Drosophila melanogaster: one gene and its partners. Changing the gene in region 4 together with the main gene of any one other region gives a genetic interaction. Each region holds a gene or a part of one and is shown on either strand. Other genes may lie near its edges.

The links.
Region 1: of Doa (region 4) and tra, changing one suppresses a phenotype caused by changing the other (phenotypic suppression), as found in Drosophila melanogaster (2 studies listed by BioGRID).
Region 2: of Doa (region 4) and bam, changing one suppresses a phenotype caused by changing the other (phenotypic suppression), as found in Drosophila melanogaster (one study listed by BioGRID).
Region 3: of Doa (region 4) and E2f1, changing one suppresses a phenotype caused by changing the other (phenotypic suppression), as found in Drosophila melanogaster (one study listed by BioGRID).

Annotation. Positions count from the first base shown.
Region 1 is NT_037436.4:16,589,559-16,592,639, forward strand, and holds tra (transformer), read right to left. Parts: upstream 1,493-3,081; 5' UTR 1,486-1,492; coding exon 1,446-1,485; intron 1,373-1,445; coding exon of another isoform or gene 1,302-1,372; exon of another isoform or gene 1,198-1,301; coding exon 794-1,197; intron 737-793; coding exon 587-736; 3' UTR 501-586; downstream 1-500. Other genes in the region: l(3)73Ah (lethal (3) 73Ah), read left to right, coding at 91-216; spd-2 (spindle defective 2), read right to left, coding at 1,846-3,081. UniProt on the Drosophila melanogaster protein: Member of the regulatory pathway controlling female somatic sexual differentiation, regulated by Sxl. Activates dsx female-specific splicing by promoting the formation of a splicing enhancer complex which consists of tra, tra2 and sr proteins.
Region 2 is NT_033777.3:25,241,740-25,248,161, forward strand, and holds bam (bag of marbles), read right to left. Parts: upstream 3,371-6,422; 5' UTR 3,238-3,370; coding exon 2,750-3,237; intron 2,686-2,749; coding exon 2,315-2,685; intron 2,254-2,314; coding exon 1,784-2,253; 3' UTR 1,300-1,783; downstream 1-1,299. Other genes in the region: CG11854 (uncharacterized protein), read left to right, coding at 319-388, 465-702, 769-908, 971-1,275; RpS27 (ribosomal protein S27), read right to left, coding at 4,614-4,642, 4,709-4,928, 5,694-5,699; Nup37 (nucleoporin 37kD), read left to right, coding at 6,224-6,367. UniProt on the Drosophila melanogaster protein: Regulatory component of a deubiquitinase complex consisting of bam and otu. The complex deubiquitinates K63-linked polyubiquitinated proteins, antagonizing the ubiquitination activity of Traf6 and regulating the IMD immune signaling pathway.
Region 3 is NT_033777.3:21,629,332-21,636,086, forward strand, and holds the start of E2f1 (E2F transcription factor 1), read right to left. Parts: upstream 3,743-6,755; 5' UTR 3,593-3,742; exon of another isoform or gene 2,802-3,592; intron 1-2,801. UniProt on the Drosophila melanogaster protein: Transcriptional activator that binds to E2f sites. Required for wild-type growth in mitotic and polytene tissues, Contributes to the expression of replication genes at the G1-S transition and Cyclin E.
Region 4 is NT_033777.3:28,900,618-28,907,480, reverse strand, and holds the start of Doa (darkener of apricot), read right to left. Parts: upstream 4,004-6,863; 5' UTR 3,906-4,003; intron 1,843-3,905; exon of another isoform or gene 1,719-1,842; 5' UTR 1,674-1,718; coding exon 144-1,673; intron 1-143. UniProt on the Drosophila melanogaster protein: Dual specificity kinase involved in the negative regulation of microtubule-based transport through phsophorylation of the microtuble-binding protein eEF1gamma.

The DNA of each region.
Region 1 (3,081 bases), on a different chromosome or scaffold from region 4:
AGTAACTGCTCTCAGTGAAAGCTCAGACTGGCTTAGTTACTTGTATACATGGCACATACTTATATGATAACTACGTATCTTATCTTTCAGATCGACATACTGTGCAACGAGGAGCTGCTCGGCAAGGATCACACGCTGAAGTTCGTCTACGTGACGCGCTGGCGCTTCCGGGATCCGCCGCTTCGGCTGCAGTTTCGTCCGCGGGTCGAGCTCTAACCACTGTTTTAGTATAATGCCACAACAAATGATCTATTTTTATAATTTATTGACAATGCGTAAATATCGTAATTAGGAGAGTCGCTAGTGTTAGTCCCCTCGAAACCATGAGTGTATGTGTAAATGTGCATGTATAAAGTCGTAAATATATGGTTATCCCTCCTAGAATTAAGTAACTTCCACTTCCTAACTCGTGTGACCCTTTTTTTGCCGCCTTCTTTGCTGCATTTGCTCATGATTTAATCAACGTTCTCCGTTTGCAATATTTTATGTTCTCCATTTTTAGTTTGAAATATATATGTATTTATTATTTTAATGTACAAAACACACGAATGTAAATAAATTTGTAATTATGTCGAATGGAGTATGTTCAATATGGGGGACGCCCCGCGTTTCTGTAGCCAAATCGCGGAACTCCAATGAACGGCGGTCGCTGGCGGTATCTGTAGGGGGCCGGTGGAAACGGCGGAGGACGTGGTAGCCTTTGGTATCCAAAACTTTGCTGCATACCAGACATCCCCTGCAAAATCGATTTAAGTTAGATTTGTTATTTGTTTCAATACAAATAACTACTAACGTAGAAATCCTGTGGTGGCACTTGCACATAGTAGTTGATGATCTTTGGCGGAGGATTATACCGATGCGGGCTCCGTTGACGGCGTCTTCGTTCACTGCTGCGACTTCGGCTATGTTGACGGCGTTTTCGTTCACTGCTGCGACTTCGGTTGCGATTGCGGCTCCTAGAGCGCTGGCGATGCCTTCTGTGCCTGCTCTCTCTGATGGACGACTGTGATCTGGATCTGGAGCGAGTGCGTCTGGTGGATTGGTGCGCTCTTTGGCGCAATCTTCTCAACCGATCCTGTTCTCGAACCTCGTCTGCAAAGTACGGAATCTTGTGCTCCTTCTTTCTGCTGTCCCTCTCGCTTGATCGCCCATGGTATTCTCTTTCTCGCCGGGATCGAGACCTTGAGCCACGGGAATCTATGTGAAAAGAGTGTGCGGTTAGTCAATGCATCTAACGCATAGTGTTTGGCGCATCGTCGGAGACGGAATCCACGTAATGCGCAGTTGAGAGTCCTATTGTCCTAGCTTCTCTTTCTCTGTCTGGTCGTCCAGCGTTCATTCTCATCCATTTCACATTTCACACAATATGACACTAGAAAAAAAACAACAAAAAGATGGCACTGGATCAGAATCTGATCAGATCGGTTATACTATATAGTGGGTACCTCGATGCTGGGTTCCACTGCTGTCGGCATCCATTTTCATCGGAAAATGCTGGAAATTAAATGATGCACTTTCCTCAGTGTGACCGTACTCGGCTTGCACCTTGCAATGTGCCCGCCAACTCACTTTTCGACGAACTATCGCTACATATACGTTACTTTTTGAATATTCGAGAGCAACATATCAAAATTTAAAATTAACTCATATACTTTATTAGTTTTTATTTAAGCTAAATTCAACTTTTAGGAAACAAGCGAGTATTTTAACTTTAGGGTTATGCGTTTTCCTTACAAATACTCTGCAAACACGGTTTCATTTCACAAGTACACAATACAATTTTTGTTTAAACTAACTACACAAACATAGGGAAAGCAGAATTAGCAGGCACAAATAAAACAAATTTTAAAATTTAAAACTAATCGGGACACTGATGCGCTCGTTTTCCATGGAGACCACAATGAGCGGCTCCCTTTCGAGCAAATCCTGCCTGGGTGAGCGGAGCAGGCGCACATCGATCTCCGCGTGGCCGCCATCCGGGGATACGTAGCACTCACTGGGACTGATTCGCACCAAATCGGGCACATTGCATGTGACCTCGATGAGCTGCCTGGAGCAGAAGCTGTTGGTTACGGACAAAGTGGCCAGTGGCGAACAGCCCACTCCGAATTCCAGCAAACCTGGCTGCACACACCAGTTTTGCTCGACGGGCGTCAACGTTGTGGTGTCCGCCTCCAATAGCTCATCCACTGGCTCCAATAGATGGCTCTGCGTTGGCGTCGGCGAATTGGCCACACATATGGTGCGGAATAGCACGGTTTCGTCGGCCTCCGGCAGGAACATCAGGGAACTCTCAGACGATTCATCAAAGTCCCGATTGAGGGTAAGCGCAACATCAATAATCCGCACTACTGTGACCAAGTCCAGAATAAACTCTGGCGGTTCGTTCAGCTGACCGATGTTGCGCACTGGCTGCTCGTCCGGAAATTCGCCCCAAATGCTGTCCAGCATCGGCGATGTGAGTTTCTCTCGCTGTCGGCTGCTCATCCTTTGGACCAAGCTACGCATACGCTGTCTGTTGGGCTCGTCTCCGCAGAAAATCCGCATATTGGCCAGGGTCAACACCTGTGCGGTCTTCTTAAGTATGTTCTTCAAGTCCTCACGATTCGGTCGGAAAAGTATCTGCACGCAGCGCTCGCTATTTGGCGGCAATATCAAGCGGCTCGGACGTACCTCGAAGGCCTCGCTGAGGCGCAGTTTCATGAGCACGGTGGAGTCCACTGATATACCAACGAAAGCGGTGAGAGGGCCCTTGTTGTGAAACTTGAGATTCGCCGAAAGCGGACCAGCGGACAGCTCGCATACATCGCCGATGGTAAGGAAACTGGCGCCCACCGGTCCCTTTAGCAGACCGTTTATGGTGATGGACGCACTGCCCCCGTAGCCGTACAACGGAATCTCTAGGCCCGGCTGGTTGCTGTTATGCGCTCCTGGTGGTGCATAGAAAGACAAGGCTCCGATGGCCGCTCCACAGACAGTGGGGCAAAAGTTGATCACTACCGAGCGGCATTCCATGGCTTGGAGTGTGATCGTGCTGCTGTCGGTGCCCACCAGCTGGAATCCGGGTCCCTGGATGCCAAG
Region 2 (6,422 bases), 3.7 Mb from region 4:
AGGAGCGATTGAATGGGACGGGGTCGATGTCTGGCTTGGGAGTTGGGAACTTGGGAGTTCATTAAAGGGAATCGTAAAATGAATTCGCCGGCTATAACCAGCCACTTTGCCATACAGCCAGCCTGCCGGTTTCGGTTTATAATCCATTTAACTGACTCAACTGCCAAACGGTCTAAAGTCAAATTCTGTGCGGCTGAAACGCAAAAGCGGTTTACGGCAACAAAAACATGATACATTTCAATTGACGAAAGTGACTATATAAGTGTTAACGCCCGCGGCTAATGGATCAGTACTCGATTACGTTCGCCGCCAGCAATTATGGAGCTAACTCTCGCCCTCGTCCTGCTGTTCGGATGTGCGTCCACCTACGGACACGCCTCCGATTTCCGTGAGTTGCACACACCCCCTTTCCGTAATATATAATGTTTATGTATATTTCACAATCGCCACGCCCCAATTTACAGCCTCGGGCATCGAGAGGTGCGCCATAATGGACGAGCAGTGCCTGGAGGACAGGGTGAACTTCGTGCTCAGGAACTACGCCAAAAGCGGTATCAAGGAGCTGGGCTTGATCCCCCTCGATCCGCTGCACGTCAAGAAGTTCAAAATCGGACGCAATCCGCACAGTCCGGTCAACATCGATCTCAGCTTCCACGAGATGGACATCTTGGGTCTGCATCAGGGAGTTGCGAAGCGAGTGAGGTGAGTGGATCCTCATTTCATTTTATGATCGCTCTGCTTACTACATTTTTCTGTTTCGGATTTTAGCGGATTCACAAGGGATCTCAGCCGCTCCATCGAGCTGGTCATGGAAGTTCCAGAAATAGGAGTCAGAGGACCCTACTCGGTGGACGGAAGAATACTCATTCTGCCCATCACCGGAAATGGCATTGCTGACATACGCCTCAGTAAGATTTGCCTCCCACAGCTTTGAAATCTAAAATTTTTAATGTGTTTCTGGAATTCGCAGCTAGAACAAAGGTACGTGCACAGATCAAATTGAAGCGCGTCTCCAAGGGCGATCATCAAACCTACGCCGAGGTGATGAACATAAAGGTTGAGCTGGATCCATCCCATGTGACCTACCAGCTGGAAAATCTGTTCAACGGCCAGAAAGATCTCAGCGAGAACATGCACGCGCTTATCAATGAGAACTGGAAGGACATCTTCAATGAACTGAAACCGGGCATTGGCGAGGCCTTCGGACTGATAGCCAAGTCGGTGGTGGACAGGATCTTTGGCAAACTGCCGCTCGAACAGCTCTTTGTAGTCTAAGACCTTAGTACAAACACCCTAATTAGTCCAAACACAAATCGTAAATATTTATTTGACTTTCAAAATACAAATGCAAAGCAAATAAGAAAAACTGGTAAGTTCCTCATACAAATAAAACGTAGTTGCAAAATAAATTCAGGCACTAAAGGATTTCTTATTTCTAAAGTTTAAGTAAAATACAGATTTATAAAAGTGAAAAGCAAACACATTTGTAGTTTTGCCAAATAAATGTAAACACAGTTAAACTTATATAAATTTGTTATCAATCTCAAAACAGGGGTAATAAATCGTTTTCATTTTGATTTTGTTTGTATCGATTTGATAAATATTTTTAAAAAGCTTATATAAGCTTATTCACGAATACAAATATGGAGTCCGCACTATTGGACAAATATATCTTACACTATAGATATGTTTACTTTACGAAATTATTGCTTCCCATGAGAAGAGTAGCTTTTTTAAATTGCATATTTGCTGTCATTCTTTTATCGATGTGCACAGCATTAGTTTAGCTTCTGAAGCGAGGTACACGTCCGGTGTGACGAGGTGGCGATGATGGCACTTCCTCGGTCTCCTCAAACTCCTCCTCCGACGCTGACGGCTGCTCCATGCTCACTGCGCCAAGCTTCTGTGGCCCGCAAATGGCGACAACACTGGGCGGGAAATAGGTCTCTGGATTGGCGATCAGAGCGGAGAGGAACTCATGCTGCTCCAGAACGCAATAGATCGGACCTCCCAGTTTGTATCTCTGGGCGATGAACAGATCCTCCGCACTGATTCCACGCGCTTCGGCCGCCCTTAGCTCGGCACCGGACAAAAGGATGGCCCGCTCGTTCAACGACTTGTGGCTTTCGGTCATGGCCCCGGAGTAGCGGTGCTCCAGATCCATTTCCCAGTTAAATACGTGCACACTGAGATGCGCAGCCTTGATCCAATCGCGCAGACCAATTAGCAATCTCTCCATGCGCTGAGTATGGACTGTAAATAATAAAATCGTTGCAGGAATAGCTGAATGGTTGCTTGCAAATCTACAGCTTACACTTGTCCGCATTGCTCCCCGAGTTTCCGTTTCGATTGCGCATTTTGGGCTTTAAAAGCAGTTTGAAGTTGTCCAAATAGGATGCGAAACCCTTAAGCAACTTGTCACACTCGTCGTATTTCTCGAAATCGAAGTGGCGATTCGCCTCCAAGGTGCGGCGCTGCTGGACAAGGAAGCGCTCTACTTTGGTGCACAGCACCTGCAGTTGGTAGCGCACATTCAAGCTCTTAGGCATCGTGCTCTTCACCGGCATATCGAACAGATAGTCCGAGGGCATTGAGTTTTGGCGCGAGAAGCCCAAATCGGCGGTCAGGTGATCATGCAGGGATCTGAACAGATTCATCAAACGCAGCACGGCGTTGTGCTCTAAGCTATTGTTTAGATAAGGAGCTTTTTATTATGTGATATATTTGGGATATACTCCAGAAGACTCACCAATCGCCGTGCAGACCAATCATATGCAGTTTCTCAATAGTTATGGGCAGTTTCTCAATATTATCCGCGGACGCAGAGCCTTTACTCTTCCGGTTCCACACATTTTCCTTCTGCAGTTGCTTCTGCTTTGGCCCGGTGACCAACACGCCTCCGGATCGCGACTTCTTGGCCGGAGAACCGTCGAATGCAAAATGGCGCGAGCGCTTTTGAATCTGTTGCAAGCAATCCAAACCGTGGAATTCGAGGAGTGGTGCAGTAACGTCACACAACCGGAGTCTACCGAAGTTCTCCTGGATTTCGGATAAAACGCCCGATGTGCAGGTTGCACCATCTTCGTTCGTATCCTCGTACTCACAAGTGGCTTTCCTCGGATCTTCGTTTTCATTGCCTTCCACCATTAAGGCCAAATGCTCCTCCATCTGCTTAAAATTGTGGTCCAACTGCTGGTCGTCGTTGCCCTCAGGACACACGTCACGTGCATTAAGCATTATTCTTAAGTTAAATCACACAAATCACTCGATTTTTGCCTTTTAAATCTTTCCTTATCGCCAGGTTCTTTTTACCGTTTGAAATGCCTGACGCCACGCTGTCTGCGAATTCAGGAGAAAGAGGAAGAATGATGGCGTCCAGACTCTTTGTTGTTAACGTATCGATATCATGTCGAGTCCCAGAACAGGGTTGCCGTCGCACAAATAAGTTTCAATTTATGGTCACCTCAAAAGGTCATTGACCCGGGCGCATTTAAAGAAATTTGAAATGCGATTCAATAATCCATTACGAACTTTACATTTTAACTACAATTATACACACTGATTTGGTCGATCACAACCAAATCAAATTGCTGATTAATTATAAAACAACATGCAACAATTTAGGCCACCTATATTTTAATTATCTAGTGGTTTTGTATAAAGCAAGCCAAAGCATTATTTAACAATTTGGGATTTATCACATTTTGTATAAATTATCATATATCGTGACAATAATAATGAAGTAGCAATAACCCATTTTCATATTCAATTTGTTTTTGTAATTCTGACGACGATAAGCTTCTAAAATTGCGCGCAAATTTAGAATAATGTATGGCATCCCCACTTCCTAACATCTGGCAGCTCCGTTAATATGACAAGCTTAGCTTAGACACAAACCAGTATACATTTTACATTTGTTGGTTCGAATACTGACTAGTTAAACAACGTGACTATTTTCATTTTTTTAATTATAAATATTTAAATAAATAAATAAATTCCGCTTCCCAACTTCTATAAAACTATACACATTTGATTCAATTTTTTCCAGACTGACGCAGCAAAATTTTGGCGCTCATCCAAATAAAAATAAGACAAACAAGCTAAGTATATGCGATCCGAATAACCAACCATTCTAAAGATTTTTTGAGTCGGTTACAAAATTCTTGAAAAAATGCTGAATGCCCAATCATTAGAAGCCTCACAAAATCTCGATTTAGAGCCTATGAAACATTCTTTATTGTTGTGAAGTTAATCAATGGTTAGATCTAAGCATAACTAGTGAAAAATTCCTGAAGTTTTGCCGCACAAGGGTATTTGCACACACAAGAGCTTCCATTATGGGCGGTTTCTTATCGGGGAACCCCAGCGATTGAGCTCCACTATCTATCCTGTTGGCAATTATCCACTTTCTATAAACAAATACGACAAGAACTGTTTTTTTTTTCACTTAGCCGACCACAACATCGTTAATTCTTTAATTCACAAAGCACAATGAACCAAAGGACCGCAGCAATTGAATTACAAGCTTTCTCTCGTATGGGTTCTGTGGTTTCTTTACGTTTTAGAGTTTTTATTAAAAAATTAATAATTTGTGGTTCATCGCGAGTCCCATTTTACTGTGGCTTCCTGCGGAAGGAGCAGCCTGAAAGAAAGACATCGTTTGGGTTAATTGCGAAGGAACATTGGACAGTGAGCATTTGGAGCATACCTTCTGTCAGCTTGGCGCGTCCTCCAGTCGGCTGGCACAAAATGGTAGCGCATCCAGCGCAGACCACGACGCCTTGGGCGTGGCTGAAGACGGTGGTGATCCTGTAGCAGCCGGGGCACTTCACGTCCATGAAGTACGAGTTGGGGTGCTGGACCAGGCGCTTCAGCTTGTGCTTGCGCTTCTCCTCGGCGGGCAGAGGGTGCAGAAGATCTTTTGCTAGCTGCAAGGTGAAAATAGTTTCAAAATTAGTATAAATTCATTTAATGTATATATTATACTATATGATTACGGCCAAATGTGTTGGATTACTTCAAGCCTAGATAATCCTCTAAATCTTAGTTATAAGTCGAAATTTCTTTGGCGCCAAACGTGTTGGTCCAACTTTGATCCAATAGGAAAACCAATTCTTTATTAATTAACGAAGAAGTAACTTTCTACCAATTTAAATACTTGAAAATATATTTTAAAGTATAACTACTTTGATCTTTAAGTTCTCAATTAACAATTCATTTGGGAAATAGATAACAATAGAATTGAATACAATGTTATCAGGCCACTTGACGATTCTAAGCCAGACAATTGGCACATTTTCTCTCGGTGTATCAACAAATGCAGAGCAGACTCCAGGCAACAACAACATAAATTCGCAAATGCGTGTTCTAGGTTATGTGCAAGGATATCCGTCGATTTCACATGACAGTGCAATCAATTCCTCCTGTAAGTCCCAAGATTCCATTTAAATCTCATTTGGCCATTTCACAACTGTTTGCAATTTCACTGGCGCACGCCATGCGTGGCTTGTATCGCACACATTCAATGGAAGCGGGCCAGACATTTGTTTTACAGTCTTTCAGGGCCGTTATTATCGGCCGACACTTGCTCCGTTTACACTGGACACTTTGGCGGTAATAAGCGGCCGTTTTTGGTTATCATTCGGTTGAGTTTTCTGTGTTTAAATTCAATTTTAACGCAATTCGGAACCCACCGGCATGTTTTTTCTTTCACAGCTAACACGGAAAAGGAAGTGGGGTAAATCGCAGCCAACTTAACTTGCCCGAGAATGCACTAAATAATGCTGAACAGCTGGGCGATGGCAACTCTGCTGCTCACGCTTTCCAATACTGGAGTGTGTGTTGCTTGAGTTCAAAATTTATTCTGACTTTATTCGTGTATTAGCAATAAATTTTATAAAAAGCAAACGCTACACAGTCGATATTAGGCATTACTACTATTACTATCATTAAAAAGTTCGCCGACGTATGACTACTTAAATATTGTTATGTTTCTTTTTAAGACTAGCCATTTTTATTAAAACTTGAGGCACAATAATGTAAGCATTAAACATAATAACGAATATATTTTCGAATAACATTTCTTTGCGTATTCTGTTTTTTAAAAGTGTAAAATCTTGGAAAATTCTTCCACTGATTTTTGGTCATACTAAAATAAACATTTTTTTGGCGCCGGCTAATTGTTGCATATATCCCGCGAATAACAAACAATATTTATAGAAAGATGCGATCTGTCATCGAGCCCGACCACAGCATCCAGCTTAATGAAGCCATCTACTGCTACGATATATGCACCAATGACTTTGCCTACAACCTAATCGCAGTGGCCTTCAGGAAACACTTGAGTCTGCTGCTCGTTGGACTGCCGGTGGGTTTCCATGCATAAGACCAGTGAAGGTTGAATGATTTTGAATGGTTAACCC
Region 3 (6,755 bases), 7.3 Mb from region 4:
CATCTCTATCTTATCAACAGTAAGAAATTGCTTCACAGCTTGACACAGCGTTTTTATTTAATGGATAGTTAAAATGTACACGTAATTACAAATTAACAAGCTCACTCATGATTCTGTCATCACTATTTATTATACTACAAAACTTGTTAGACGCTTTTCAAGTTTCTCCAAACAATAGCCACTGAAAAATGTATTTCGAAGATAAAATATCTTTATCTTTATAATAACAACTTCTAAGTGCACTTGTCAGTCATCTCTGCATACATTTATCTAACTGCTGAAGGCGAAGCACAAAGCGAAGCAAACAGAGAAAAAATAACATTATGCAAACAGGGAAATGAACATGAAAATACGAAGCGGCCAGTGGAATATCGTGGAAAATGTGGCCTACACGGCAAAGAAATAACAAGTTTTTCTTTATTTTTCATTGTTTCCTTCTCTTTTTCCTATCTCTACGTTTTTCAATCAACATTGGCGCAACAGAGCGGAGCTACAATAAAACCTAGAATAGCTTTTCCTTGCTTTGCTTTTGCTTTGCCCGTACAACATTTGTATGACTGATAAAGAAAAGGCTAGAAAATAAAACGTACACATTATGTAGTGGCCGAGTAAATAATTCCGTTGGGGGTTTTCAGTGGGCGGGGAGGGGTGTTTGACGGGGGAGGGAGGCAGCCAAGCGACTCAGGGCACGCAATGCGACTTTTGATAGCGCTGCCGCCTCCCCTCCCTTCACCTTTTCACTGCCACTACTCTGCTCTCACGTTCTCCGTGTTAATTTCGAATTAGTATAGCAACAATAACCGGCCGCAAGGTGTAGTGAAGATTGTTAAATTAACGGATCTTTACTCTTTATAACTTAAATTTAGTCTGCCCCCGAATAATAAATATGCCCAATTGCAGACATGAAATCTCAATTCACTAATTAATAAAATATTAGCTAAAATCCCAATTCGAATGCAACTAATGGCTGGTATTTAATTTGCAGCCATAACTGTATTCCTCTGGCATGCCAATTTACCGTTATTAATTATGAAGATCATGCATTTACATGGCTATTAATTATATACGTTGTTATGTATGCAGACTCACGCACACACAGGCATAAGCACAAGCACACGAAAACATACATATGTATGTACATGCATGCTCACTAACACCCACACAGATACCAAGAGCTAATAAAAAGTTTCGCTTTCTTTTTGCACATCATTTTGCATGCGCAGTAAAAAGGCAGGGACAAGTGAAATAAATACAAATAAATAATGTGCGAGTGTGCAAGGTGTTAAGCAACAACAATTGCAATAGAGGGAAAAAAGTGAATCAAAAGCCAGAAAAAGAGGAAGAACACGAATTTTGTGTATTAAGCGGCAGTCCAGAGAGAGAAAGAGAGAGTCTCCCACGGTGTGTGTGTGTGTTGGAGGGGGATGCTGCTAGGGAAAAGAGACTGAGAGTAAAAGCCGGCCTGAATCCGAATAACAGCTGTTACTCACAGACACAATCCACATGGAACATCTCTCTTCATCTTTTTGTTGTTGTTGGTCCCATGGATGCTTTTTTCTAGCCGGTTTTATTTTCTCTATCATCTTTATTTCATTTGGTCAATTACACACACTTGGCTTCTTTCTTATGAACCGCAAGGACCGAGACAGAAGGCAGCCACTTAATTGCACACTTACAGAAATGAAATAAGGTAATAGTAATATAAAATAAAACGGCTGTAAGCCTCGCCTTAGCTTTTTTCGTTTGAGAAAGCCAAAAATAATTGCCAACTGGCCAAGTCAAGAAAAAGAGAACGAGTAAAAGAGAAGGCGGCTTTTTGTCCAGGGAGAGGCGCACAAAATGCGTCGCAAAATATTTCGCCCACAGAAAACTGCAAACATAATGAAAGCCCGGGAAAGGAAAAATTATTGCGTGGGTGTGGAATATCAATGCCGGCAAGGAAAGCAGAATGAATTCCAGGGAAGTCCCCTTTGCGTTTCATACACCAAAATTTTGTACATAATGTACAAAACTTCATTTCGCCTGGCCATTTACGCGATGACGCATTTAGAGCCAATCGAATATTGTGTACTCACAAGGCCTGATAACAGGGGCCACACATAATGTACACACTATGTGGTGCAGTCGTCAAGTACATGCACAGATTAAAGCGGAAAACTGTTGATGCAAGTCCAATTAACCCGACGAAACTGGTAGAAGTAACCGGCAAATTCAAGACCACAGAAAATATTAAAGAGACAAATGATCTGAGATTTTAAAACATTTAGATCACTTTAATTTGTAAAACAAACACATTACCTAATTATTACATGTCTATTGAACATTTCAGTTGATATTTATGACTGCAGTGCAGCTTTAATTTTGCATTCCTCAGTATCCACGTCAACACAAAAACGCCAGTTAGTTGGCTAATATTGTGCTGGACGGTTTTACACAATTAATTTTAACTTGAAATGTATTTTTGTCCATATCTTCGAAGAAAAACCACGAGTTCTTCAAACTGTTACCTGCACTGTTGTCTTAACATCTAGTAAAATGTTAATCTGGGGGGCGCCATAAAGAAATCGCCGCCGACTTTGGGCAAATAGAAATAAAAACTGATGGACTCCGAATTTTCGATTCGTTATCTCTGAAAACTGGAGCGTTGGGGGATTGAATGAGTGAGCGAATGACTGCTATTCACCGTATCGGTTTTGGAGGTTATTAGAGGGCTTAGCCCAAAATTGAATGATTAATTGATCATCAAAGGTGAGGTGGAAACTCCCTTTGCTTCTTTTTTTTTGTCTTGTTTGAATACGCACCTAAAAATGGAATTTTTGTTGGTTTTACTTGCTTTCTATATATCACACGCAACCACAACAAATTGCTCTGCTTTTTTTTCCACCGCCGCCTGCTTCTTCTTGCTCTTTTTGAATATCACACACGTTTCATATTTGCAAATTTTTCATTTTTTTGCGGGCGTTTTGCCTTTTCTGTCGGTTACTTTTTGTATTCCACGTATAATGTGCTGCTGCTTCTTACTCGTTTGACTCAGTCTGTGTGTGTGCGAGTGTGAGTACGTCGGTGGTGTGGGAACTTTTAACTTTACTACGCGACGTTTTCGTTTCTCTTCTTTATTCTCTATATATTCTACGATTCTGTGCGTGACGTCAGCAGTTCGAGCATTTGTTGTAGATATCACATAATTGTTACACGCCCGCACTTTTATTTTATTTTATTCTTGATTTTTTAGAGCATTTGCTATTGCTACTCAGCGACTTGAATCTTTTACTTGCAGAGGCAGTCTTTTGCGGCTTTTTGGTTTTTCTCTCAGTTTTCCATTTTCACATTTTTGCGGACTGGCGACGAAAAGCGAACTGAACTTGGGCCACAAAGTGTGTTGTGCCGTGTCTTTTTTGGAGTCGCCGTCGCCGGCAAAACGCAATCCACACGCGGAGAAAGAGAATCGGAGAGACACGAGATAGAGAGAGAGAGCGAGAGAGGGAGTCGTCTTACGTCAGACGGAGAAAACGTAAGCACCACCGTAATGGCACTTTTAATACCGGCCACTTACGCTTAATTAGTGTATTAAACCACATTAACTTATCAATACCTCAGTCTTGTACTCTTTTCAGTTAGCTTTTCTATTTTTTTTCGGATTTTTCCGTCGATTTTCCCCTCGTAACGTGTTTTCTGCTCGCACATGTGTGTGGGGGCGGCAGCGGCAACAGCAGCGTCACGACGCGACAACAACACTGAACGCGGCGAATCGACAGAACAAGCAACGAGCCACAAAACGCACGGCGTCTCTTGTAGCGGCGAATTTGAGGCGTCAGCAGCTGAGCGCTCGCGGCACGAGAGAGTGAGAGCAGAAGAGAGTGGATCGTAAATTGAGTGGAGACAAAACTGATCAAACGATAGCTATTCGATATTACGATAGGTTGTCAATTCAAAAGGGAACGAATATTTTGGGTTATTAATATTTTGCAATGAATAAATACATTTGAGTGTTAAAAGAAAAATATAATTATTTATAAGCGAAGTTAAATACCTATAACAGCGCTGTTAATCACTTCCTGAATTGTTTTTTAAATGCTACATTATTTTACCTAATATCAGCTTTTAATTAAATCTTTGGTCCAAGTTTTATTTGAAGTTTTTAATTTTAAAATTCTGTTGATATAAAAACTAATGCTTGAAGCTAAGAGAACCACGCTAATTGCAGCGAATTAGCGGCAACAGCTGAGCACGAGAGAGAACGAATGTGGAGAAGGGGGCGGAAAGCGAAAGCGCAAGAGGGTGGAATGTGAGTGGCGCCGCTTCCTACTCTTCACATGTGGCATGTGGAAGCCAGACTCGAATGTTCGGTGAGAGCGGCTTTTGCTTTTGGCCCCCAACCCTTTTCGCTCTCTTCGGCTTGCCGGCTACAAATCGGCTAAAAATCGCTCAGACGGAAGTGGCGACGTCGCTGTTACCGCACCCACATCAACAGCGACGCCGGCAGAGAACCTTTCCCCTCCCGCTCAACCAACCGCTTCACCATCTTCTTTATCTTTATCAGTTGTGTGCCAAGTGTTGCATTGCGTTGCAGTGACGACATTGTTGTAGTTGCAGCAGCACAGCAGCGTTGCCGATTTTCAGCGCCCCATCAACAAGGGGTACACTTTTTAAGGCCGGAAATAGGCATTAAATGGGTCTATCGCATAACTCGACACTGTCGCACACAAATCTATTAATTTCTACGTATCATAAAAATTATGCCTGAGATTAAAGCCAAGTATGCTCATCTCACAGCTCACAGCTTAATCATATAATATACCTTAAAGATTTGCAACTTTATAGAGAAAAGTTAGTATTTAATTAAGTAAATACTAACTGAAGTGTAAAAATTCACCTATTTGCTGAGCAACTGACCTGATTAAAGAAACCTGCTCAAACATTTGACTTTCCATTCTTATATTATTTGTTATTCCACTATTAATCTACTTTAGTGCAAAAGCACTTTCTACTAAACAAACAATACTCATACATTCTGGAATAATGCAAAGTTTGTACTCATAAATATCCCAAAATCGCTACCATGTCACTTTTTCTAACAACAATCTGATTAAATATTTACAACTCATGCCCGCTGCCATTTGCATTCCTGGTTTTGTGTGCACAAATGTATCTCGCAAATCAGTACAACTTGCCAGGCGATCTGCGCAGTGTTTCCCATTCCCATAATCCCAAGCCCAGTAACTGAGAAACATCCCCCCCCCCTCCTACCAGAAATGTAATCTCCTTTCCAGTTTTCGATTTCTATTAACTTTTTAGGCAGTTTTTTTTTTTGGATTCGAGGCTGTTATCCTTTGGGTTTCTCTTGGGTGGGTTGCTGAGGCGAGGACACTCACAGATCCGTGAGTGTGATTTTTTTCACATTTCCCATAAGCCAGACCGGCAGACAAGAAGAAGAAGAAGAAGAATGAGAATACGAATATGAAGAAGAGGGGCGAGAATCACCCCTCACGGACGCAGAAAGAGAGGAAGAACTTTGGCCCCTGCGCCTGCCCCTTCCCCCTTCCCATCCCTTGCCCAACACATATGCAATTAGAGTATCTCTATGCTTGATTTTTTTTCAACCATTTTCTGCAAGATGGTTTTTTTTTTTCGCCTACCAGATAGAAGAGCGCAAGCGGGAACTTCCCACGATCCTTGGGTGGACTTTTGTACTTTGGAAGACATTTTATGTGCGCAGTGTCATAAATACTTTTAATTAACTGGAAATGCGTGTGCGAGTGCTGGCTTCTTTTTTTTCCTGCTCTTTTTTTTTTTTGCTTTTCTGTTTTTGTGTGCTCTTGTGTTTTGTGTTTGCCAGCCGTTCGTGAGTATCTGTGTATCCGTTTCTGCCCATTCCAGATACCCGAAAGCGGGCGTGAGTTTCCAGAGGCGTATTTACCATAATTTGCTTGATTTTTTCCCGTATGTCATATCATAAAGTCTTGCGGGTGGGCGAGGCGAGAGGGTGGGTGGGGTAGTGGCAGACAATGCGGTGGCATAGATATGTGGCTAGCACAAGCGTTGCGCACATATTTGAGCAGATGTTTCTCCTTTTGGACTGGATCAATGAACTCAATAGTCCAAAAATTGACTCAGACACTTGTGGCACTTTTGCTACGGGTGCGAATGACTGGGGAGGTTGTAAAGAGCTTTAAGCCACTAAGATAAAATAAAATATTAAAACATAACTATAACAAACAAGTGATCATAATAATCACTCAGTTCCCCTGGAAAGTATGCTACAGTTTTTTTCATTACCTGAACTCTGGGAAAATGTCAAACTCTGAGAATGTTGACGTTGAAACATAACGCCTAGGAATAGAATTTTGTGCATTATTTTCTTGCATTAAATCCAGCTCTAATACTAGTTGTACACATTTGCTGGATAACATTCGAAAAGTTATCAACTTGCCCCTCAGCCATTTATCCTTTCGGTTAATTTCCAGCACAGACGCATTTGGCCGGCAGCATTTGAAGTCTGAGAGCCTGGAAGAGCTGCGCCTGGCATTCATCAGGCTCCTCGACAGTCTCGTCACACGTCGCTCCCTGCAATTCCTTCCTCATCATCCTTCCGTCGCAGAAGCAAAGCAACCCCTTTGCCATCAGTGGGGTGCAAAATTCGGATATAGTACTATATGCTATAGCATGCCAACCCCACCGCCACCCCCTCTGGCGAACGAGGAGCCAGACATATGGGAAATGAAAGAGAGTTGCCGGCGGAGCAGGGAAATACAAGA
Region 4 (6,863 bases):
ATTCCCAAGTGTATTAACGTGTTCCTACCATCGAGGTAAATTCTATAAAACAGATTTCGAACAAAGCACAAGAGGAAGGAGACACCAAACACCAGACGAACTACAGACACCACAAGGCGATCACCAACACGACGACGACCAACCTGCAGATACTGCTCCGGTATCTTACTGTTCTTAGGCACAATGATCTTCTTGATGATGATAATCTTGTCGCCCTCGATCTTGGTGATAGTGATGGGAACGCCGGGCATAGGACGCTGTGGCTTGACGGGCACAGGTTGCTTGGGAGCGTTTCGAATTACTTGGGGTCCAGTAAGGATGCCACCGGGACTTGGTTTAGCAGCTGGAGGAGCAGGCTTGGGTTTTGGTTTCTGAGCAGGCACGTGTTCCTTGTGGTCGCTGCGCACAATGGAGAAGTGGTACAGTGGTTTATCGTCGTCTAGAATGCTCTTTTGCGGTACAGTTTTTTTCTCCACTCTACGCAGGACGACTCCCAGCATGGGCGATTCCTTGGGCTTGATGGTTATCGATCCACTGGGCGCTGTCACCCGCTTGAGGCTCACTCCAAGGTTAGTGCCCACTGGTGGCGGTGTCTTCGTTCGATGCACCATTTTTCCACTGGGTATCTCACGGTAACCATCGTCCATTCGCCGCCGACGACGATCCTCTTCAATCTGTTCTTGAACCCTTGGATCGGGATTAGTGTGCAGAGATGGTTCGGGTGCCACCAATGGCGATGGCCCAGGAAAGAGTGATGTCAGACTGCTCCGCCGCCGGTCCATGTTAGGCGCTGACACCGTCTTAGTGAGTGGAAATTTGGTAGGCTGTGGAGGTGCTGCCATAAGTGGTGGTTCCACACCGGTGGCACTCGTGGTGCTACCACGTCGACTGCCTGCCTTGCTAGGTTGTCTGGATGCCGATGCACTGGCCGAGTCCAAGCTGCTCATGCTGGCAGAACTCTGGAGGCGATCTGGAGCAGCGCTCCTTTCGCGATTACGATCTGGCGAAATGGAACGCTCTCGACTACGATTGTGGGAACGGGCATCCCGAGCAGCTCGCTGCATTCTCAGCAGCTCAATCGAGTCAGCTATGTGAGAGGTACTCTTCTTAGGCGGTGAGTCATCTTTGGAAGAGGCCTTCGGCTGCGAAACGTTAAGAAGGTGCATCTCCATGGCATCATCTATGTTGCAGGGTAGCGAAGCAATGCGTTCTCTTGGACCTGAATTGGTTGGAAGGGAACCCTTGGTTAGTTCCTCTTCCTCATCGTTGTCGTCGTCTTCATCATCCTCCTGCTCCTCCTCTGCCTGTTGCCTGATGCGCCGTTCCTCCTCTTCCTGTTGCCTGCGTTTCTCGCTCTCCATCACCCGCTGCAGCTGAGCCTGCACCTCGAGGGCAGCACGTGCTCTGGCCTTGGACTCGGCCTCGCGGGCCTGACGAAACTGTTCCTGGGCAATTGCTAGAGCTTCCGCCTCCGCCTGTGCTCGAGATCTGGCCTCCGCTTCTGCGGCTGCTGCTGCCCTAAGTGTGGCCAAATCCGTGGCCGTCATCTGCTTTATGCTCAGGCGGCGCTCAGTATTGAGGATCAACTCCACCTGGGTGCTACCGCCCTGCGGCTTTTGCGCCGCGAGGTCTGGACAGCCAAGGGCGATCAGTTCGCTAAGTTCGTTGGACATTCCAAGGGGTGTGGTGAACTTTTCGGTTGATTGTCAGCTTTCTTTCTGGATCCCAAGGGGAAAAATTACTCGATTATCTAATATTGCACTGGCGGCTCCCTCGAATTGCGTTGGGTTCGACTAGCTGGGCAAGACTCGCGAGGCTGCCAATGTTGGCCCCAAAGGAAACCTGCGCAACATCGGATTATTTCGTATTGGTTCTATTCGGATCAGATCGGATCGGAACAATCGATCGCACGCTCAATGTCAATGTCTCATTGGCATTTTGGCAAATGCCCGACGACTTGACTTACTAATTGTATCAATGGTCGCCGTTCGACCAAAGACTGCTTCTTTTTGGCGCCCATATACATCCGACATATATATGGGTACAAGCATGTATAGCACCCCCAATTTGTTTTGGTATATAGAGCAGAGACATATACAAATTACAAATCGTAAACAGCAATGAGCTCATTGATCGCGGCGCCGCCTCATCAAAAAGCAAACCCCCTACCCCTTTGCGATTCTAGCCAAAAGATCTGCACCTTGCCCTAAATCTATTGCGATGTGTGGAATATGTGTGAATATCCCTGGAGAGATCGTTTTAGCCTATGTGTGATATCTCGGTGGGGTTCATTGGGCATCTTTCCCTGCCATTCTGTGTTCGGTTCGAAATCTGTTTTTATTTTTAACAAATGGACGACGTTATACCTAGTACACAGTACGTGTGACGCTAGTGCCAGTACAGTGAAACCTCGATCAGCCATGCAAATTGAACTGACAGCTCTCATTTGGAAGATGCATCTCTGATCTCTGATAATCACATTCGACTGATTGGATTTTTTAATTCACTTTGAGTTTCCATTAATTTTCTGATCTTTGCTGAGCTCTGGCTTAGCTTTCACTGTACCGAAAGCACACACATTCGAGTTGGAAAATCTGAAGGGGAAAAGTTTTCCACCCCAGTTGACTTTTATTTTGGTTGGCATCATCATATGGCCAAAATTTAATCATGTACAAGTTTGTGTCTTGGATTTTTGCTATAAGTTTGTTGTGGCAACTAAATATAAATGCAAGCCTTACGAAAATAGCTTTCGAAAATTATAGAAAACGCCAGCTAAGCGGAAAGTGGAGGATGGAGGGCAGCGGAAGGAGACGCCGGAGCGGCGGAGATCAACATGATGATGATGTGGCAGCCTGATGAATAATCCCGCCGATCTGTAGCGCACATATAGATAGTTTGTATCTATGTGGCACACACACTAACGGACACACACGTGTGTGCTCCATTTGTTAGTTTTGAGTTTTTGTTTTGATTTGCTTGGCCGCTGCGTTGTCTTCTTCGCCTTCATCTCCGAGTACACAGAAAACATATTCACCATATTATCTAAGCACAATAGTAACTAAACTGTTTTTACTTGTTGACCCTTAAACTTTTGGAACATAGTTAACAAAGAAATATGGTTTGAAGATATATATCATTCCATAGTCCAAAATGTTTTTAAACTATCTTCATTTCTATCTGTGTATTCGATTGAGTGAATGTTGCACTAGTCTCCTCCATCCCCATACGCTATTTCTATTAAAAGTATCTTTCGCCTCGCTAATTGCAAACTTGGTGGAGAAGTGCAAAGTTCACTATCAGCGTTTTGGACGTTTCACAGCTGCTCATCAGGCTGGATGGTATCCCACTTGATATTATTCCGAATTATACACTCGCCACCATTGGCGGGGGGTCAATAAAACAGTTTGGCTATGGTATCTTGCATCGCGTTTTGTTTAAACAAATACAGTCCGATGAATATCGCGCACTTTTTTTTAACACTCAGTGTTTTGTTTGATGTTTTTTTCGCTTTCGACAATTTTGTTCTTGCCGCACTGCTACTGTTTTATTTTTAAAACACTTAAATGTTCTAAGTTTTGGGTTGTTTTTTGTTCTTGCGCTTGATTATGTCACGGTGCCCAGCAATTGTTCTACCTATCCTATCGTTCCGAAATGCGTTTCTATATTGCACATACGCTCCGTATGTACCTCTAATTATTGTTCTATTCGATTATTTGGTGTTTCTCAGCCAAATACAAAAAGAAAAGGAATATTCAAAGCACAAGAAACGCACACACACCACACACGCACACACACACATCGATAAACAAATTGCGCGAAAGGAGACGATCAATATAGAGATCGGGGGGATCTGACCGGATAGAGAGAGACAGCGAGTGTGCGGGGGATCCCCGTGGTACCCGTACCGTTACACGACGAAGACGAAGCGACGACAATATGTAGTTTATATGGTTTATATGGCAGCAGTGGCGGCGACACACAGCCAACAAACGTAGATTTCAATCTGTTTCGGTTTCCTCGAATTTGAAAATTCTCAGCCGAAAACTGGCCGCAGATGAGAAGAGCGCAGACTTTCGGCGGCGCGTGTATTTATAATTTTCCAATGGCCACGGAGCAAATGGCAAGTAGATGCTTTTCCGCCGGATGAAGCTGCGCGCGCATCTCCGAGAAAGAAGTATCAGCTGTGCGCCATGGGCCATAGGTAGTTTAGACGAACATGCGCACAGTGCGGAGAGGAATCCCCAAGGCGTCGCTCTCGGGAGCCCATAAACATGTGTGTATTTGGGGGCATGATATAGACAGGGAGAGTGAGTGGGCACCGTGTAAAATCGGTGTATATAGCGGCGGTCAAAGCAGTAGCATTGCCAATAAATCATGCCAAAATTTCCAGAAGACTTAACATTTGTGTTTGCAGAAATTCGAATAATATATGGACGACCATTTGACTTGAATCGACATGTGTACATATATCACATATACAGATTATAACTAACAATTTTAGTTTAAAACAACGAAGGGAATTTGTTAGGATTACAATTACTACTGTACATATTTTTTTCCACAATATTTTTGAAAAAAGGTTGTGTTCCTATAAAATTGTAGGACCGACAATGCATCACGAGAAAACGAAAGATATTCGCCGACAATCTGTGACTCGGAATGGGGACGACTCACTAGATAGTCGTCATTGTGGTCCACAAAGTACTCCTCGATGATCCAATTGTCGCCGGCGTACTTGTCCACAGGCATATCGCTGAGGGCCACAAGATCAAAGTGATTACGTTGCCGTTTTAGCAGCAGGCAGCGGGTAATGGCCACGCTCTCTCCGTCACCGGGTGAAGCATCCTCCTCCAGATATGTTTCCAGGCCACAGCCATTCGCCCCATTCCGGATGATGAGCTGCTGCTCCAACTGCTTAAAATACTGAATCTTGGCGGCCTGGGGACTAAACGATGACGCGGAGGGAATTCTATGCGAGTTACTCAGCCCACTTAATTGGCGGCGACATGGGCAACTGGCAATGCTGGCGAGGAGCAGTTCGCATCATCCGCAGCAGCAATAGCAATATCTCATCACATCTCAGAGCAGCAAAGAAAACTCTGGCCGCCGTCAACGAGTTAATGTCAAATGATCAATTGAACGAAAATAACTAGAACAGCGGGGAGTGTTGGGCACAGGGGTAGCTATAAAGAACCACCAACAGTGAATGAGAACTATAAAGTTCTCGTTTAATTGAGAGCTGTTTTTCATACAGCTAGATGCCACGAAGAACGCATAGAAATTGCTTAATTTGCACATGAATATTGCCAAGGTTTCGCTTAACTGCTCTATTTAAGTACCATTTTATTACTGATGAATACAGCTCAAACCGAGTTTCCGCTCTAAGCTTTTAAAAAATGATTATCTCTTAAAATTTTGATTATATTTAAAGTGGCTACTGTTTTTTTTCAAACCTACACTTGAATAACAAAACCAATAGTTATTTGTAATTATGTAACATCTAAGTTTCTGAATTTCGACACAGTTTAAAGGCCTTGCCCAACCAAGTTACTTTGTTTCAAGTACTATCTTATCAACTCATGCTGCTCACTCAAGTGCTCCGCCTCTTGAAGCCCTGAAGCATTTATTTCCATATTCAGTTACACTGATTACAGTGACTTTCCCATGTAATCACTGTACCAGAAGACCAAGAACCAGAGCAATGTGACACATCTAATGACAAATTTAGCTCAACTCAACGCCGCATAGATAAGAAAGTAGAGAGGGATCGAGTGCAGCGGCGAACGATCATGATAGCGCGCTGATCACTTCACCGATCCACTCGAGAATAGGGTGTACTGCAAGACGCACACAAAAGTAAGGAACGATAGGTTAGTCAAAAGGAGGAGAAGGGGAAGGGGAGGTGGGTGGGTTCGATTGATAGCACAACATACATGCTTACTAGATAATCGCTGTCGTGATCGACAAAGTACTCAACGACTATCCAATCATCCGTGTACGGCATAAAACGCAGTGAACAGCTGGACAGGATCAGATCGCGACAGTGATCCACGACCGGTGGCGCCGGCAGATCACGCATCTTGATGTAGCACGGGATCTGGGAGCTCTCGAAGTGATCGGCCACCTGCTGGGACTTCTCAAGATACCGCTTGAAGAACAGCATGATGGGGGAGGAGTCGATGGAAGCGATCTTCTAGCACTGATCAGACGGACGGCACAGATTTTGGCAATGGCAGCACAAGGATTGGAAAACGCAGGTGGTGGTTAAATGAGATCGGTCCGGTGTGTTCGTATTATCTATCTGTCCGCCTAGTTTGTTCTTTTACCATTTTGTTTTGCTTTTAGCTTTCGTTTTCAGTTTGTGAATTTTCTTTGGGGTTTCCTTTTTTTTTCGTTGCCCTGCCTACAATTTTCACTTGTTTGCTACTTGTGGTGTGTATAAAATAAAAAGTTTTTACCTTAGCCTGCGACTGGCGGTTGTTGCGTCCGCTGTCGCGTTCGTCCTTGGCGCGATCACGGTGCCGCCGGCGGGAGCTCGAATGGGACGTCTCGTCCCTGTAGCGGTATTTGTGCTGCCGTCGACTGGCGGCGGGCGACTTGCGGTGCGAACGCTTCGAACGCTCCTTGCGTCGGCGGGTTGAGATGCTGTCATCGAAACTGCAAAAAGAAAGGTGTCCGGTTAGTTCGATCTCTTGAGGTATTACCTAACCAACCACCCGGCGACAGCAGATGAATGGCCGTCCTTGGAGCAACGCCCAGCGGCGTGGACAACATGGAAAGCTACTTAGCTACCCAGCCAGCCAGCCACTCAGATTCTCAGCTACTTAGCGAGTAAGCCGCTCCACGCTCGCCTTGCCGCCGGA